Drosophila melanogaster: one gene and its partners. The protein of the gene in region 2 interacts with the protein of the main gene of each other region in a pairwise test. Each region holds a gene or a part of one and is shown on either strand. Other genes may lie near its edges.

The links.
Region 1: the proteins of Alg3 (region 2) and corolla interact in a two-hybrid assay, tested with the Drosophila melanogaster proteins (one large-scale study listed by BioGRID).
Region 3: the proteins of Alg3 (region 2) and Rchy1 interact in a two-hybrid assay, tested with the Drosophila melanogaster proteins (one large-scale study listed by BioGRID).

Annotation. Positions count from the first base shown.
Region 1 is NC_004354.4:17,629,212-17,633,776, forward strand, and holds corolla (corolla), read right to left. Parts: upstream 2,837-4,565; 5' UTR 2,789-2,836; coding exon 2,671-2,788; intron 2,607-2,670; coding exon 2,316-2,606; intron 2,159-2,315; coding exon 1,971-2,158; intron 1,919-1,970; coding exon 851-1,918; 3' UTR 580-850; downstream 1-579. Other genes in the region: CG8326 (uncharacterized protein), read right to left, coding at 1-60, 130-212; ND-24 (NADH dehydrogenase (ubiquinone) 24 kDa subunit), read left to right, coding at 3,211-3,249, 3,379-3,897, 4,052-4,222.
Region 2 is NT_033778.4:23,704,861-23,711,646, reverse strand, and holds Alg3 (ALG3, alpha-1,3- mannosyltransferase), read left to right. Parts: upstream 1-1,854; 5' UTR 1,855-1,933; coding exon 1,934-2,219; exon of another isoform or gene 2,220-2,470; intron 2,471-2,620; exon of another isoform or gene 2,621-2,788; coding exon of another isoform or gene 2,789-3,017; intron 3,018-3,061; exon of another isoform or gene 3,062-3,155; coding exon of another isoform or gene 3,156-4,493; exon of another isoform or gene 4,494-4,734; intron 4,735-4,869; coding exon 4,870-6,116; 3' UTR 6,117-6,208; downstream 6,209-6,786. Other genes in the region: CG5504 (uncharacterized protein), read right to left, coding at 2,789-3,017, 3,160-4,493; l(2)dtl (lethal-(2)-denticleless), read right to left, coding at 6,429-6,786. UniProt on the Drosophila melanogaster protein: Probable alpha-1,3-mannosyltransferase involved in the N-glycosylation pathway. Involved in glycosylation of the TNF receptor grnd, regulating its ligand affinity. Required for normal epithelial growth and architecture.
Region 3 is NT_033779.5:6,459,588-6,467,522, forward strand, and holds the start of Rchy1 (ring finger and CHY zinc finger domain containing 1), read right to left. Parts: upstream 6,083-7,935; 5' UTR 5,942-6,082; intron 4,553-5,941; 5' UTR 4,257-4,552; coding exon 3,675-4,256; intron 1,130-3,674; coding exon 968-1,129; intron 895-967; coding exon 736-894; intron 408-735; coding exon 129-407; intron 61-128; coding exon 1-60. Other genes in the region: HemK1 (HemK methyltransferase 1), read right to left, coding at 6,937-7,177, 7,232-7,752, 7,812-7,935.

The DNA of each region.
Region 1 (4,565 bases), on a different chromosome or scaffold from region 2:
TTAAAGGACACCTGCTGCTCATCCTTTTTCACAGGCGGATTGTTCGTTACTTTGGAAAGTCTGAAATGTGAAATGGTGCAGATATTAGTTTAGCTGCCTTTTTCGACTGACTTGCCACTATGAACAAACTTCTTCTCCTTCTGTTCCAGCTGCTTGAGGGGATCACGGACGCCGTGGTGCTTGCGCACGGGAATCTTTCGTTTCCGAGCCATTTATTTTGGGTTTTGGTTCAATTTTTGTAAAACAAACTCGTGGTATCGACAGCATGGGTTAAAATACTAAGCGCGATGCATGCTGACAAATACCAAAACAAACCATAAATATACCAAATCGATTAAAGCTTGGACTCAAACCATTGGCGCCCAGAATTACAAATGAAATATTAAAGTTAAATATATATTAGATTAAATATATAAATGTATTTTACACTATGTATTGTATTAAGTAGTCTTCATATTCCCCTATTTTATAATATACATTTTTAATAAAGATTTATATGCTGTAATGAGAAAAGTATTTTATTGCAAGTGGTAAAATTTACTGTTTGCAGTAAAATTAAATATTTAAAGTCACGAATTTGTCTTAATTTATTGTTTTATTAGTTTATAAGCAACGACAAAATGAAGAATAAGTCTGAAACGGCACTTTCGAACTGAATACGTATGATTTAAATGTACATATGCATATTATGTACGCAAATTAATTTCATTATAAAGCTACAAATAATTTAGCTGAAGTGAAATTTTTTTTGATTGCAAATGGCAATGAATGAATAAGTATCTGGATATTAATTAATTGTCCGTTCTTATAAAGAACATACATTAATTTTTGACCAAAATACGTTAACAATTTAAAGTATGTACGCCGAGGCGGCAGTAGGTGTAACATCATTATCATCGCTGAAGTTCAGCAGGTAATCATCGTCAAAATTGTTGTGGGGCGAGCTGAATCGAAGTGATTGATCATCAAAGTTGTTGAATGTGGACGACGGATGCTTAAAGTAATCCGGCATTGGTTGGCTCATTGGGAACTCCTCCTCCTCCAATTTTAGTCGCTTGCAAGGCGGCGCCTCGTTTTCATCGCGATTGCTACCATAGTTCATAAACTGGGTTGCAGTAAAACGATTAAGAGTGCCCTTGGAGGTGCTGGGTATATCGTCGCTGGCCCAGGAAGATATGTTTTTGAAGGGAGAGAGAGTGTCGACTCTAATTATTTGTGGTTTATCGGAAATTTCATTGGATAGCTGCTCATCAGTCTTCGGGTTTTCGCCGATTTTTACTTGTTTGGCCGCATCAGCCGGCTCCTCCTCTCCTGAAGCCTCCCCTCCGGATTCCTTGTCATCCGATACGGATTCCTCGACTTCTGAGCCAGATTTCTCATCATATCTATCCTGTTCTAGATGCAAAACCTCTTCTGACTTTTCTACTTTTACCTCCTGCTCAAATCCTTCATCTTTCAGCGCCATTTCGAATTCTTCTTCTGATATTTCCTCAAAATCTTCGTCTGTGGCCTCCATTTCGTCACTGTCCTCTTCTAATTCCGCATTTGGGACACCTGCCTCTTCTGAAGGAGAAAGCCAATCGGTCTTCTCAAATTTCTCCTCTTCGATATGGCTTATCTCTGGATAGGGAGAAAAACGCACTTGCTTTGTTGGCGAGTTGGAAATGGCAACAGACTCGACCTCCTTGCATTTGATCAAAATGGATCGCAGAGGAGTCTCCAGCTTCTTAGTAGTGATCTCTCTATTCACGCTCGTCATGGATTTATTGTCATCTGGTCTGATATTCTTAAAGATGAAGTTGTTGAGGAAATCCGAAGCGGACTGAAATGGTGAAATGGTGCTAGCGGATGGAACACCAGCCAAACTTGGTTCAGCGCCCTTAGTGACACCCGTTTTAATCAAATTCCTTTTTTGCAACTGAAAAACGGAAAAGTTATTCACTTGGAATGGATATTTCGCAGCTACTCACCTCTTCCTTCAATTCGTTTATCAGCTTTCCCATCTGTAAAACGCTGACTATCTTCTTATTAAGCTTATCCGTCATACTTCTCAGCGTAATTGTCCACTCGCGATCCGACTGGTCCAGTTGGTCGTCCACTGAGGCTAGCTCCTTATCTGCCTCTTTTTTTAAGGCTTGCTCTTTTCGGAATTCCTGGACTGAAATAGAAGCTACTTGAGAATCATTTAAATAACACAAATGAACTTATACTATCACATAGGGTAAAAAATATTAAACAAAATGTTTTTTATTGTTTATGATTATATAGCATTCAAATGGATTCCGTATTCAATAATACCTCATACAAAATCTTACCGATGCTGCGCGATTCGAGGATTGTGTTCTGCTGATTCTCTTGCTCGGCCAAATCCTCCTGCAGCTTAATTTTGCGCTGGAACTCCTGCTCCTTGCGATGCACCGTGTAGTAGAGGATGTCCTGCAGCCCGGCCATTTCGAGCAGCTCCTCAATTCGCGTGATCTGGAACATACAGTCCTGTATCATGGTGTTGGCCTGTGCCATACCGGCACCGTTATCCTCCACTACCAAGGCGCACTGCTTGACCAAGGTCAGGTCGAATAGCACCTGCTCCAAACGCGGCCCTACAACTGAACAAGCAGAAACATGTATGTATAAATCTTACTTGGAGATTCGCGCATTATGCCCACTCACTCTGCTCCTCGACGATCAATTCTTTCCTTTTCTTGAGTTCCTTCTCGAGCTGCGCCATTTTGGTATCTTTTGGCCAATTTTGCCCCATAAATTCTTTGACAAGTGGATATTTTTCCATATTTTGTCCGTTCAATGTTTCCCCCCGATAAGCTTACAAGTTTGCGCGTTCAGTAATTTATCGGATATCGAATGCTAAGGCACAGCGATCATTGTTGAAAAGTGTCATAGATACTGAAGTCACAGCGATATATATCGCTTACTGTTTTAGAAAACTTATTTTAAAAAGGAATAAAAAAATGTAACGTACCGCTGAATATTAATTTAATTACAAGTTTTATTTGTTTAAGCTTTTTTTTATTAATGTTGTACAAGATTTGTAGAGATTTGCTCATCTCTGACGACAAGTGCCAGTGTTGGCAAACGCTCCGCCGAAAATCAGCTGTAAGCGGTGCTTGTTAAAAAAAAACTGACAGCAGCCGACGGACTTCACATAACATAAGAGCAAATTTTCAGCCTTTTCATTATTTTGGAAACGCCAGAATGCTGACAAACTGTGCCTCCAAAACACTGGCCGCCGTGGTGAGTAGCGCAGCCATCCAAACTGTCCAGTAATTCGCGGTGTCAACCAGGGAAGGCAACCTGTTCCCCGAGTTATATAATTGGCGACAGGAAAACAATAACATTAAGGATATGTGTTGTTATTTGCAGCGCGCCAACATCCGGGCAATTGCCACCAGCAGTGCCCGGGCCAGCGACAATCTGTTCGTCCATCGCGACACACCGGAGGATAATCCCAACATCCCGTTCGAGTTCACGGCGGAGAACAAGAAGCGCGTGGAGGCCATACTCAGCATCTATCCGGAGGGGCACAAGCGCGGCGCCATGATCCCGCTGCTTGATCTGGCACAGCGCCAGTACGGCTGGCTGCCAATCTCTGCCATGCACAAGGTGGCCGAGATTCTCCAGTTGCCCAATATGCGCGTCTACGAGGTGGCCACTTTCTATACGATGTTCATGCGCAAGCCCACTGGCAAGTATCACATCCAGGTGTGCACCACCACACCATGCTGGCTCCGCGGATCGGACGACATCCTGGAGACCTGCAAGAAGCAGCTGGGCATCGGCGTCGGCGACACCACCAAGGACAGGAAGTTCACCATCTCGGAGGTCGAGTGCTTGGGCGCCTGTGTCAATGCGCCAATGGTGGCGATCAACGATGACTACTATGTAAGCAATTCTAATTGCTAAATGTGTTTCCTGGTCATTTGTTTGTAGGAAACGCCAGTTTCACTCTCAGCCTCGTCCAGCGTTTCAATCTTAATGCGCTGAAATCGACTCTATATTGTGCAAACATTGCTAACGTTTTTTTTTTACTTTGCAGGAGGATCTGACATCCAAGGACATGCAGGACATCCTGAACGACCTGAAGGCGGATAAGATATCGCCCCCTGGGCCACGCAACGGACGCTTTGCCAGCGAGCCAAAGGGCGAGCCCACTTCCCTGAGCGAGGAGCCCAAGGGTCCTGGCTTTGGTCTGCAGGCCGGTCTGTAGAGGATGAGCAAGGAGCAGAACCTATCACTGATTGTCGAACGAAAGTTAAATAAATGTTAAGCAACTTATAGAGGTCATTGATAAAGGATTTTTGGATTTTTTTTTAAAAATATGCTCACTTTCCATTGGAAAGTTTCCATTTTGAAAGGTTACACATAAAATAATAACTCCCAACGAACTCGAGAATACTAGTACATTCAATTAGATGTGGAAGATCGCCAGAACCCCAATGCAAGCCAAATGTGCGTTTTTCATATCTTGACCAATAAATGATTTTATTTTGTAGTGGAAACGGCAGGTTCCCATTGCTAATTATAATGGATGTTTACTATTGCATACGTAC
Region 2 (6,786 bases):
TTTGAATTACTCTCTCGAGCATGTTCTTTCTCCAGCGAAATGATGTATTCAAGCATATAAGCTTAATTAATGCTGGCATACATAATTAGTTTTGCTATCAAGGGACACACTTCAACATTTTTGCTAAAAAAAAGGGGAAACAAAGGATTATCAGAGTACAGAAAAATTTTACGGTAAAACTCCACTCATCTGTAGCAAAAATGTTTTTAAACAGATTTTTTTTGGAAAAAATGTAGCTGACAAAAATGGGTTATTGAATTCCAGTTCGCACGGATCCTCCGGCTAAATTCCTGTAAATCGCCGTGCACCTTTTTTCGCTACAGTTTTTCGCTTTTTGGATAATTGGTGGCATATCAGTGTTTCAGCTGGCTGACTGAACAGGTAAATGTCGGGAAAAAGCGACAACAGGGCCAACTATTTCGTGTTTTTCTTTTTCCGAGCAAACACGCTGCAGTGGACACAATAAATGAATCACGAAATGCGGAAAAAACACACAAGAGCGGGGCAGCGCCGGAAAATCGGGCAGCCATTCGCATCCGTGGGTTGACATTTAATTGCCCGGTGGGTCTGGGTGCGGGCCATTCCCCCGTCCAGAGTCCCGAGCCCTGGGTCCTGTGTCCTGCGTTCTGCGTTCTGCGTCCTGAAAAGGATGTGGGCTCGATGGTGGGTTAAGTGTGGTTGCGGCATGGCCACCATATCAGTTGTAACCCGATAAACGAGCTGCGTTTGCATGAGCACACCCTCGCCCGGCTTATGTTACCCCGTTTGCCTCTGGCAAATGCATCTCAGCGATGCGTTAAACCGCCAGAGCCACCCCAAAAACCACCCAAAGCCAGCAAAACCAGCCAAAGCACACGGACCACGACCGACTGTTTGCTATTGGGATGACGCCAGCGATGGACGTTAATCTGGCCAGCAAATTGGCCATGAGCTGATTGGTTTTGTACCTGTTGCGTATTCCCACCTGCAGTTCCGGTCCCCCGCCCCAAATGGGGCCCACCCATTTTGACCGAATAGAAGCGTTCGCCGTGTAGGAATTCTGCTAATTACTACATATATGTTATGGTTTAATCCACCCGCAGGCCTTACAACATCCAGCTGGCTAGGAAAAATGCAGCCATTCAAATTGTAAATACTCAGCAGGAACTAAAAGCAGTGGATGTGTTTCAAAATGCAATTGTCAAACTCATTGCTATTCAATAAAATTCAAGCAAATCCTCAAATAATGATATTTCTATTGTACTGTATTGAATCATTAACTCTTTTTGGCCAAATTATGAAGGTGAACCCTTAAATCAACCAAAAAATACGTATTTTGGCCAAAACAATCGATTTTATGGCCCAAATATTGAGTGTCATAGCTTGTTGAACTTGTATTCACATTCCTAATCGATTCCCATTCAAATTTGAAAATTTTAATTTTTGTCAATTTTTTGCAAATTTTAACGATGTAACCCCTTACAAAAAATGCAAAAAATGGCCAAAAATTTAATTATTGAAAATCGTCAAGATTGTGATTGGGATAGTTAGTTTGGATCATTAGGAGTCTAAAACAGTAATTTTTTTGAATGTGCGACTTTTTTTGGCCAAGTTATGAAGGTAGCCCTCCTTGGAAAACTCGTGTTTTGGCCACAATAATTTAGGTAGCAACCCAAATATACTTTAAAAATTAAATTACAAATATTTAAAAGCATTTTCAGCGTGATAAAATTAAATTTTCTTTTCTTGAAAACCAAGCAACAACCGGAAGCGGAAGACGCCACTGGTGCTCGCTGTTAGAACTACAAATTTAAATTGGGAAAATATCGATAGCATGCAAAATCCAGTTGGACTGCTATCGATGGGAGGCGCAACAGCTGATTTTGATAGTGCCGCCCTGGTTGTTTTTCGGTTCAAGTTGAATTTTAATTAATTTTCGCCGGTTATCACAGAAATGGCCCCGCCAAAGGCCGCCAGCCACCGTCCGGCGGTGCGGCGCAAGAAGTCGGGCACCCTGGTGGACTCCATCCTGGACAAGTACCTCAACGTGCGCTTCTTCAAGTATCTGCTCCTGGAGCCGGCCGCTCTGCCCATAGTTGGCCTCTTCGTGCTCCTGGCGGAGCTGGTCATCAACGTGGTGGTCATCCAGCGGGTGCCCTACACAGAGATCGACTGGGTGGCTTACATGCAGGAGTGCGAGGGCTTCCTGAACGGCACCACCAACTACAGTCTGTTGCGCGGTGAGTTTCTGCGCCGCTCCTGGTTTATTTTTGGCCACAGGTGACCCCATTCCGGTTGCGGAAACATATGCGTGCACCTGTTGTTCTTCGCATGATGTGGTTATAACGATATTTTAGGTTACCTTACTAAGGGGATAGCCTATTTCCAACTAGCTATATAGTTTATGCTCTTTTTTAGTTGGAATTCTTATAAAATTGATATTTCAGTTACTTTAAAGTTTGAAGTATTTTCAAAATCGAGGAGAGTAGTTTGACATATGGTTCAAATGTTTGAACACAGTTACCATCAAAGGTTAAACACAGAGATTTGGGGAGTTGGACGACATCAAATGCGGCACGAACTTTAGGCAACTGAAAATCGGAGCAGCGTGAGATTAAGACAAGTGAAGTTAGCCTCGCTTAAACGCAGAACTTGCCCGACTGACGGTCAATTTGGTTTATTCATCTCGAACCGAGTCGTATTTGGAATACACTCCCCCGGTTCCCGCCCGAACTTAGATTAGCAACAATAACGTGCGTTAACTTAGACACTAAAAAAACAGAATCGGCCATCGGGTTGCCAACGCCTGTCAGTTGAACATGGACTTGATCTTGCTTATGAAGCCTCCGCCTCCGCCGTCGCCTTGTCCGGATCCGGATCCGCCGCCTTCTTTCGCTTTGGTTTTCTCGTTGTCCGTCCACTGGTCTTTGCCTTCGCTTTTTTCTGCTCCTGGTCCTGGCTTGGAGGCTCCTGATCCGGCGGCTGCTGCACTGGCTTTAGCAGCTGCTCCCGCTCCTGGCTCCTCACTCGCTCCTGCGCTGCAACGAGAGATGGGGAAGGGGAGAGAAAGACGCCATCATTTAATAAAGCTCGCACATAGAACGCACGTATATTTCAACTACGAATTCAAGCTCCAAGTTACATTTAGAGATTGCATTGGTAGATCGGGAGATTATTTACGTTGCTTGCTTACTGCCGTCTTTGCGATTCGCGATTCCGTGGATCTGCCCGGGGGTGTCCTCCTCCAGCTCGGCGTACGCCTCGATCAGAGCCAGTCGCTTCTTGTCCAGCTTCTTTGCCGATGGCACCGTGATCTTGACGTGCACGTAATGATCGCCGTGTCCGTGGGCATTCACGCGTTTCAGACCCTTGCCGCGCAGCATGATCTTGTGGTGCGACGAGGTGCCCGGCTCCACGTTGATCCACTGATCCTCGTATACGCCCTGGACACGCACAGTGCCGCCCAGCACCGCCTGGGCCAGGGATATGGCCGCGTCCGTGTGCACATCGGCGCCCTCGCGCCGGAAGTAGTCGCTCCGCTCCACGCGGAACGTGACGAACAGCTCCTTGCTGCCCACCTGCATTCGCACCGTTTGCCCGTTCTCAATGCCAGCCGGCACCGGCACGGTGACCTTGCGGCGCTGGACCGTGCGGCCCTTGCCCTCGCACTCGCTGCACGGATACTTAATGTGCTGCCGCGTGCCCTGGCAGTAGCGGCAAGTGGAGCGCATTACGAAGGGCCCAGTGGACACCGTTTCGAAGCCGGTGCCGTTGCAGTACTGACAGCGACCTGGCTTGGTGCCCGGCTCGCACTTGGTGCCGGCGCACTTGGGGCACTGGTCCACCACGTTGACGTTGACATCCTTGTTAACGCCGCGCGCCGCCTGGGCAAAGGTCAGGTCCATGACCATCTCCTGGGCCTGGCCGAATCCGAACTTGGAGTCGGCGAAGTCGTCGAACGAGTTCGTTCGAAAGTTGCCCTCGCCGAAGATCTTGCGGAAGAGCTCCTCGGGGTCGATGCTCGAGCGGAACTGCCAGCTCTGCGAGAAACCCTCGGGGCCAAAGCCACCGGCTCCTCCGCCAGGGAATCCGCCGCCCTGGCGACCAATGTTTTCCGCCGTCTGGCCATAGGTGTCGTACTCACGGCGCTTCTGCTCGTCGCTGAGCACTTCGTAGGCCTCGGAGACCTCCTGGAACTTGCGGCCCGCATCCGGATCCTCCTTGTTCGTGTCCGGATGGTACTTCTTGGCCAGCTGGTAGTAGGCTTTCTTGATGTCCTTGCCGTTGGCGTTCTTGGCAACGCCCAGCGTGGCGTAGTAGTCCTTGGCCAGGAGGTCGCGCGTGGTGTGCAGGCGGCGCACTTGGGGTGCGTCTGCCCGGGTACTTCCGCTCCCGGCGCTGGAGAGGATTCGGTAGGAGGTCGCGCGTGGCGTGGAGAACGCGGCTGCCGCTAGGCAACGGCGCACCGCCGGCAGCTGCCGGAACACGAATAATTTTTTACACGAAATCATCATTTTTCCATAAAAGTATCAGATTTTCAGCTTTTCAACAACATGCCGTAACATCCATGCTGTCCTACGAATGTCTGTCTCTCTCTCTCTCACTCGCACTTGCTCAATGTGACCGCGTGCGTAGCGAGCGAAAATACCAACCGGCGTGAAAGCGAATGAAATATCGTTATATACCGTTAAAGTTAAAAAAGCCGTATATTAAATAAGTTAACTAAAGTTTTGCCTTTAAAATAAATATGAAGTGTAACTCAATGGATATAATAGTTTTCCCAGGCCCAAACAGACTGAAATAACTGCTTAGTGAATGAAAACAATGACTAATTGCATTCCTTCTATCTAATTTATGATAATTGAAATTCTTCGATTTTCGATTTCCTAGGCGACACAGGACCTCTTGTGTATCCAGCCGCCTTCGTGTACATCTACTCGGCTCTCTACTACGTCACGTCCCACGGAACGAACGTTCGCCTGGCGCAGTACATCTTCGCCGGGATCTACCTGCTCCAGCTGGCCCTGGTGCTGAGGCTGTACTCGAAGAGCAGAAAGGTGCCGCCGTATGTGCTAGTGCTCAGTGCCTTCACGTCGTATCGGATCCACTCGATATACGTGCTGCGACTGTTCAACGATCCGGTGGCAGTGCTGCTCCTCTATGCCGCACTCAATTTGTTCCTGGACAGAAGGTGGACCCTGGGTAGCACCTTCTTCAGCTTGGCGGTGGGCGTTAAGATGAACATCCTGCTGTTTGCGCCTGCGCTCTTGCTGTTCTACTTGGCCAACCTGGGACTTCTGCGGACGATCCTGCAGCTGGCTGTCTGCGGAGTGATACAACTGCTGCTGGGCGCTCCTTTCCTGCTCACCCATCCTGTGGAGTATCTGCGGGGCAGCTTTGATTTGGGACGCATCTTCGAGCACAAGTGGACGGTCAACTATCGCTTCCTGAGCAGAGATCTGTTCGAGAACCGCACCTTCCACGTTTCGCTTTTGGGCCTGCATCTGCTGCTCCTGCTGGCCTTCGCCAAGCCCACTTGGACCTTTTTCCAGAGCTACGTGCGCCTGCGCCGTATTGAGGATCAGCTGCAGCCGCAAATAGCCCAGCAGAACCTCGAGCTGAACGCGCAGAAAAGACCAAAGAAAGTGGAAAAGGACAAGGACAAGGACCAGAAGAAGTTTACAACCGAGCAGCAATCCTTCCTGAAGGCCTTCGAGAAGAGCCTGCAGAAGGCGTCTGGAGGAAAGGCCACTCCGGCACCCGCACAGGCGGAACCGGAACGCTATGGCATCCACTTCGATCGCTGCACCCAGCTGGCCCTGCTGCCGTTCTTCCTGTGCAACCTGGTGGGCGTGGCCTGCTCCCGATCCTTGCACTATCAGTTCTACGTCTGGTACTTCCACTCGCTACCCTATTTGGCCTGGTCGACGCCGTACTCGCTGGGCGTGCGCTGCCTGATCCTCGGACTGATTGAGTACTGCTGGAACACCTATCCCAGTACGAACTTCTCCAGCGCTGCCCTTCACTTCACCCACATCATACTGCTCGCTGGGGTGGCCAAGCAGCTTGTCCAGACCATGCGGATTAATAATGCGGCCAAGAGGGAGCAGCAGGAGCAACAGAAAAAGCTGCAGTAAAATGGTCTGAGTGCCACTTGTTAGCCATGAGTGCCACATATAAACCGTTTTGATTATGCCAAAAAAAAAATTGAATAAACAGTACATTAAACGAGTTAGTTTTTAGAGAATCAATCAAGGCAGCTTTAAAATGGAGTTACTTTTATTCGGGTACGTTAGTCTTTCGTATCTTTTGGCTCTGTACAGAGGGCGGGGAGTTGGTTACCAACTCGTCCCGCGATAGATGCAACCTACTATCTACATAAAATAACTTAAACAATGTCCGCTTAAAACTACAAGTGCAATAATGGTGCTGTGGCTCGAGGCTCCGCGTCAATCGCTGCCCACCGCCGTCGTGGGCGTGCGCATGCTGAGGGGCGTGGCTGCGGGCGCAGTCACTGCCGGGGGATGGGGATCAGAAGAGGAGGGAGCCGCATTCGTTGTCGTTGTTTCCTCCGCCGGCACACTGCTACTTCTCTGAATGCTAAAGAATCGCAGGAGCGTCGTCTCGCTGTTTCGCCTACTGGAAGTGGGCGTTTTTGGCTGGGATTGGGAATGGGAGTGCGAGGAGCTGCCAGCCGGCGTGCCACCGCCTCCGTCCGTATGGGAGATGCGTCTGCGGGGCGAGGCGTGTATCCTGGGACTGCACTCTGACTGCCGCAGACTCTGGAGGCGCGGGGATGCCAGCACA
Region 3 (7,935 bases), on a different chromosome or scaffold from region 2:
ATTGTAGGCGCCGCAATGGACGCACTTTAGTCCGATGAAATGGAATTTGGTTTTTGAAGTCTGTAATGAATTGGATAAGGTTATAAGAGCTTTTCATGAATGTTAGTATTATGTATATCTAGTCGTACCTTGTGACAATCGTTGCAGAATATGTGCACTCGCTGATTCTCGTACTTCAGTGGCACCGGCATGCGCTCCGCCTGGTCGTCCAAGTATACCCACAGCGCCGTCATATCGATCAGCGAGGTCTGGCAGGTGGGACAGGTGTAGTGGCCGGAGGCCAGCAGCTGGTCGAAGCACATCTTGTGCAGCAGGTGTCCGCAGTCGGGAATGTGGCAGGGTATGCGCGAAGTGTGGATGTCGCCCAGGCACACGGGGCAGTGCGATCGCGAGATGTTCTCCACGCACTACGGGAAAATAGACACGTTGTCAATTAGCAAGGATTTAGCAATCAGCCATGCCAGTCTCTGGCCCAATTCGCTGTCAATTAATGAAGTCATTGCTTCAGCACATTTGACATTCATATCCACTCAACTGGATCCCAGATTGCAGATCGCAGATCATATATCGCTACATATAGCAATTAGGCAACCGGTTTTGGTAATGAATTGACAAAAAAAAAAAAAAGTTAATGTGTTTCTTTGATTTGCTTTCGAATCGCGGAGGTCAGCATTCCCACTTACAGGCCAAATCTTAATCAAGCCCAATGAAGTGCCAAATGTAGTACCAACTCACCCGGTGGCCATCGATCTTCAGCTGAATAGGTAGGCACATGTTGCACACCTCGCAGTGGAAGAAGTTCTCCGCACCGCCAATGCGACAAATCCCACATCCATGACAATGGTACTGCTGCTTGTCCGCATCATCGAAGAGGTTGCAGATCAGGCAGGTGTACTGTAAGTACATCAAAATGATATTACTAGTAGGGTTTTGCTGTGATTTTTGGACACCTGGATGGATATCTTACCTTACCAAATCTCACGCCGCAATTGAGGCACTGCTCCCGCACCGTTTGCCGCGTATTGCACTCGGAGCATATTAGTTCGGTGAGCGTTTTGCGATCGAAGTGATGCGTCTCGTTCTCGTCGTGGCAAAATCGGCACTTGTAGAACTTGTTGCAGCAGGGGGTCTGAGAAAGATATAGTTGCGTGATCAGTATCAGATCAAATTAGTGCTGAAAAGAAATCGCTGCTCGAAAAAATTCCACTTTAAATGGAGCTGAGATTGCTCCCCGCCACACCTGCCGATGGACTACACCCCTCAGTCAAGGACTACGAAAAACCTATTATCGAGCGGCAATTAGCACGACTCCTAACTCCCCAAATGGAGTTGCTAATTTAAGAAATCTGCCTGGAAACCGACTAAAAAACAAATCTACTAGTGACGTCTACATGCCAAAGGCAATAACTTAGCATTATCATAAACAAGGCACTTGAAACTGAATCGAATTTTGTACGAATTTCGAGTCAAATCAGCGGGTGAATCCCAATCCGATTGTAAAGATGCCAAAGGTACTCGTGTCGTTTAATTAGGTGGCTGCTAATTAGTTCACCTGTCGATGCACAGCTCGAACTACATGATATAGTTCTATCAGTTTTGTCTTGGGGATAAAGTTTGAAAATAAGTTAATTTATGCCCTTAATTATCTTGTGTATCCTCGAGTTCGGCTTAGTTACAGCCAACACCCAGCCATTTGTATCTGCCTCCAGCCTCGCGCACACATCTATCTCCACTATCTTTGAGAATTATTTATAACTTAACAACAGTTTTTTCGTATACAAGTATTTATTTCAACTCTGCTGCTGCTGCGATGATAACACTCGAAGTACAGAACCGAACCGGAGAAGAGTCTTCGAATCCGGTTTCTTTGTCATTCCCCCCGGCTTTCATTGCTGTGCTTCACTAACGATCGTATTTTAATGATCGTTTGCATCTGCAATTGGCTAACTCCAGACATCTCAAATTTATTTAGCCAAGACGAAACAAAGCTTCTAACACAAATTGATACAAGATTCGCGGGAACAGGCGATATCCATGGGGCATTGCTCCACTTGGGGGATTGCACATACTGCTCTCAGCTTATGTCCACATTCATGTATACATTTATTTCACGCACTGTCGGGCGAAAATAAATATTTGACTATAAAATAACCCAGCTGATTCAACACTCAATGGGCACCTCATTAGTGCACAAAACCCTCGCTTATCCGAATTTCTCGCGGTGCACAGACGAAAGCAAAAACCTCTACATTCGAATTTTATTAAAATGTGGGACAGATTGAAGCGTGTGTACGGATTTACGTGACATTTTTTGGAAAGTATTGTAAGGCCATAGCGCATAATACAGAATTTTTGGGGAATTAATAATTCATATCGCGAATTGGCTGCTTTTCAACAACAAATAAGCGCTCACTACTGTTGGAATTATAAGTATTTAAATATTTACATTTAACTTTCTTTTTCTTTATTTAATAATCCAGGTCATTCACAAACAAATCTATCTAATCAAGTGCAGCTGCAGTCTTCTCTGCATGAGATACTTTATACATGAAATGGTTACCACTTTCCCCAGCACTGAGTTACTTTTCCCACCTTCGAACTTCTGTACTTATCACCTTACGATAATTATGTCTGCTGGCTCTACTAATTGTTAAGGTAAAGAACCTGAATATAGCCGTGCTACGATTGCTTTATATGCACACACAACATTTTTAGATGCCCCATAATTTGTTATCCAAACGCGAGCGATCAAGACAAACGCATTGTTTGCCCAGATGAATGGCGAATGGAGGTGTTAACTGGCCAGTGGCCACTCGCCTCCTGCTCAGTTCCTGCTCAGCGGAGCATGCTGACCAGTTAGTTTTTTGGATGCCGGACATCGTCAAGCTGTCCACACAAGCCAAACACTTGCCGTGCAAATAGCGATGCCCTCCAATTGAATTCAAAATCTAGTCAGCAGACAGACACAAAAGAATCTTCGCCAAAGGTGTCTGTTTAGAGTTTAGCCACTTTATTTGTTTAGGAACGAATAAATAAAGGTTAAATGCGCCCATTTTCAGGAAGGTAGCTGTGTTGGATAGACACACACACACACATAGATAGATAGATGGATAAATAGGCATACAAATGCCATTTAGAGGCGCCATCATAATCTTCTTGAAAATTTTCCAAATGGGTGAAATGTTTAATGGCTTTATCACTTTGAATTTATTTCAATGTATTTTTAGGATTCATTTTATAAAAGTGAAATGACTGATCCGCTTTCTAATCATGACATAGGGGTTCCAATTGCATAATTCTTTATCTGATGACCCAGGAATTGAACTATACCCGTATAAAATAAAAAAAGAACTTTCAAAATTGAAGTTTGTTCTTATATCACATAAGTTGACTGGTTTCACATTTGAGGTTTGAATAAACTAATCTCACTACAAGTAAGACTGCTAGATACATGGATCCGTCTAGTCTTTCTACGAACATCTATCTACTAATCTTAAGAATGGTTATAGATACTACGATACACTAAAAAAGGATTAAAATTTGTATTGATATACATATCAAAGAAGTTCAAGTGTATAACTTTTATAACTTTTCTGGGGCTTTTCCTTTTATGTAATGCTTGGAAAAGCATCCATAGATAATATGAATGGAGTTGGACTGCCTGTTGCACTTACCACGAACATGGCCCGCCGCTTGTAGTGAGCGCATCCGAAGCGCAATGACTCCGGAGTTGTTGGCTGCGCACCGCAGATGTTGCTGCTGCACTTGTTGCTGTTGCAGCTGCCGTCGCTGCTGCTGCTGCTGCTGTTGCACGATGGCTGTGCATGCTGCTGAGCCTCCGCGGCGGGGTTACGTGAGCATGCTGCAAAGCGATGGAGCTGGTCCTCCTCCATGGGCTCCGCCATGCCATCGCAATTGAGACTCGGCGTCGATTTGCATCTTCGCAGCTTGGCGTGCGCTGGATGATACTTGCCCGTCATCGTTGTGGGCGTCACAATCAGCTGGTGTTGCTGGTGGAGATGGGGATTGGGATGGGGATGGGGATGGGTATGTGGCTGCTGCGCTATCTGAGCAAGTGGAAGCGAAGCGGGCAGAGCAGCCTCCGCTGAGGTCGTCGTGGCTGACGATGAATTTAAATTGACTTGATTGGGCTCCTTTGTATTGGTAACTATTTGTACATCGATGCCGCCGCTGCCCATGTATCTGTTGTGGTTTTCATTTAGCGATATTCGGCGCGTTCGCTGGCGGTTCTTCATTTTGCTGCAGGAGCTAACTCTATGTATATATAGAGTTATGTATGTACGTCTATAAAAGTGATTTTCCACTATGCCTCGCAGCTGCAGTAGTCGTGGTTAATTGCTGGCCCTTTCAATTGCCGCCGCGAAGCATTTAAATTACTGGCCGATGCTGTTGTCGTTGTGCCACATGTAGACTTTGTATCCGCACTCAAAAAACCGACTGTCCGGTTTCCCTTTTCACGCGATCGCAACTAACTTTCGTTTGTCCAGCTCATCCTTGGGTATTAATGGGCTCGCACAGGTGACACACTCGGCTGAAGCGATTGAAAAGTGTGGGAAAGTGGTAAGTATTCCATTAGCAGGCCATTTCTCACACTCCGATCGATCAGATTAGAGTCTAAGCCGGGTTAACCCCCCACACCCCCACACAATTTTTGACACACAAATGAAACTACCGAGGCGGCGTATTTGCATTTCAATGTTTCCCAGTCCCCGACTGCGAAAGGCCATCTAAACTAGATAACGACTATCTTGATTTTCACTCCGTTTTCTTAGCCGTCGCGCACTGTACACAACGTACAATGGGGAACAAGAAGTAGTAACTTTATGTAAGAAATTATCAAATAAAAGATCACCTATGATGACTTTCTTCCATTTCTGTATAGTTTTGGATCAGATATGGAAACCTATTAAACCCATATCATTATAAAATGACAATTAACCTGTTAAGAACCCAAATATGTGCATATGAACTACTATCTTGGCCGCTGCTGTTTTTGGATGGGACCTTGTGCCATGTGAGCGGCAGCATATAAATCGCTTGCTTAGCCTGCAGGTCGCCAAAAACGTTCACAGCTCCACGGATTGGGAATCGCAGTGCCTTGGCACACGGTGCGGATGATGAATTAAAATGCGGGCAGGGAGCAGCCAGCCACACACTTGTTAACACAATCGGCGTGCGACTTTCGCTCATCGGTTGGCTGTTGCTGCAAGTCGGTGTTGCACGTAGCAGGTGCACATATTGATGCTGCCAAAGGAGGCATTACCAGCTATATATAAATGTATATATGTACATACTTTTATATATACTTTTATTTGCACAGCGCGGCAAGCTGCAAATTCGTTGCCGAATCTTGTTTGCTCAGATTGTTATTCGCATTTTCTGCGCCGGGGAGCAGGGACCGACAATAAATATTGAAAGTGTGCTAAAATTACAAACGCAAGGCGATTAAGCCAGCCTCGCCGGAAAACCAGTCGGCGAAAAGAACGCAAGTTTGAACTCGATTCAATTCGGTATTCATGTTTACGCACGCACGCACTCACGCACACAGGCACACACTTGCACGCGTCGATCGGGCGGATAAATGCATTAAGTAATGTCACGATCTGGCTAATTGGTTTCTAAAAGTTTCCAATCCACATTCAAACCGCCTTCAAATCGCAGTTTGGGCGTATGTATATATATATACATGTACATATATATGCACATTCATTCATTTACCCAAATCTATATGGTCAAATTTATGTAGAATTTTTAAAATCAATTTCTCGTTTAACGTGTTTCTCGTTTTTGTTTTGTTTCGGCGCTTTTTAAGTTCCCTCTTCTTGACTTTCATCAAGCGCTCATTGTGATATCCACTGAAACTCCGACTTTAATTATGATTTAGCCATTTGTTAATTATACTACACATATGTATGCGTACTTGAAAGTGAAACAACACACACCAGCCGAACGAAGGAGATCGCAGCTCGAAATCGTCAATTGAATTAAAGAGCTACGACAATCTAAATCCGCGTTCCACTCGCGCACCCGGATTCCGCAGACTCGTCCGGCGCGAGTTTCGACTTCCAACTGGCAACGGAAGTTAGCCACTTGTTGCTCCGAGCCACTCTGTCGGAGCTTTTATCCGCTCCGGAGCTTAAAGCTCTCCAGCGGAGCGGTTACAACAAGATTCAGATGCGAAGTCGGGGGATTTATGCACTCGGGTTCATAATTATGGTAATCCTTGTGGACATGTGTCCTTGTTTTCATAATCAGTACACCTATAAGCATTAAAGTGGTAACTTTAAGCAAAAACTTTCTAATTTGCATAGAAATATTCTGATTCTATATATTGACAGGATACACATCTTTCAGGCCAAAAATATGGTTAGCATTTTGCTTATCGCAGATATAGAATACATCAGTTTGATTAAACAGCATTATACTCGATCCGCGATGATCATTAACACCCTCCAATTTATGGCAGCAAGCCTCTGGTTATAAATCATAATCGCCATAGTTTAAATCAGTGACCAGTTATTATAGGTGCATTATACTTTTAACCTATTGATCTTTAAAATCATGTTAATCCATTATTATAGGATCAAAAATGCAGTAGAAAGCCTTAGGTAAAAGTCGTTGTGGTTTTTGTATACTGATAATAATATGGTCATAAATCAAACAGCTAATTGCATTGTGCAATTTATACAGGTATATTTGTGAAGTAATACCGCCTGCGGTTGTTGCTAAAAGATTCAGAGACGAAACTTAAGGATTAATAGCGCTATATATTCTGTTTATATAGGTGTGAGTCTCTGGGCAGCGTGCAGGTATGTCTGGTCTTAAATCAAATCACAGCTAAATGCATGGGCAACGTTATAGCTAATTGCATTGTCAAAGTCATAGCATTCCGTCCTGTCTATGGCGCAATCTCGCCTAGACCTTCTCGATCTGAACGAATCTCTCGCGCTGATACTGGTCACTGTAGCCGGCGATGAACTTGAGCCGGCCCTCGTACTTCAGATTCATAATGGTCTTCACCATCGGCGGGTGGTCGTTGCCCAGTTCCAGCCAGAGCTTGCCACCGGGACGCAGGTGCCGACAAGCCAAGTCGAAAACCAGTCGAGCCACCCTCAATCCATCGGACCCACCGTCCAGGGCATTAAGGTTCTCATACCTGGGGATATAAGATAGTTAGTGCACTGCATCCATCTGGTATAACATCACTTACACCACGACTTCGGGATGCAGAAACTGAAACTCCTCAGTTTTCACATACGGAGGATTGGAGATGATCAAATCGTACTTCTTGTCCTTCAGCGCCTCCGGCAGGTACTTGTCCTCCTCCATGGTGTGGTTGTGTACCTCAAATCGATTCAGCAGCCCCAGCATTTTGGCATTCTCCGCAGCCAGAACGGTTGCCGCCTTGCTACGCTCAATGGCAGTGGCCACCACCTGCGGCAGACTGTGTAGCATGGACAAGGACATGGCGCCCGAGCCGCAGCCCACCTCCAAAAGATCGACGTGCTTTGCGTTCTTGTGATCATCGATCACCAGGCGCATAAACTCCTCCGTTTCGGGGCGTGGAATGAAGACCGACGGCGATGTCTTCAGCGTAATGTCCATGAAGTCCCACTCGCCAATGATGTGCTGCAACGGCATGCGGGCACAACGGGCCTCCAGGAAGCGCTCGAAATCCGCCAGCTGGCCGGGATTTAGCTGCAGCTGGTCAAATGAGTCAGGAACCGAACTCTACGGAACGTAAACATGGTTAGTGATGTTGATAGCCAGCTTTTCTCACAGATACTTACAAACTTCTGCTTCAGGACATGCGACACGATGCATTTCACGTTGAACTTCCTGTCCTCGACGCCGGCGGCCTTGAGCTTTTCCTCCCACTGTCCAATTTCCAGGGCCTTGGTCACGGGAATGTGG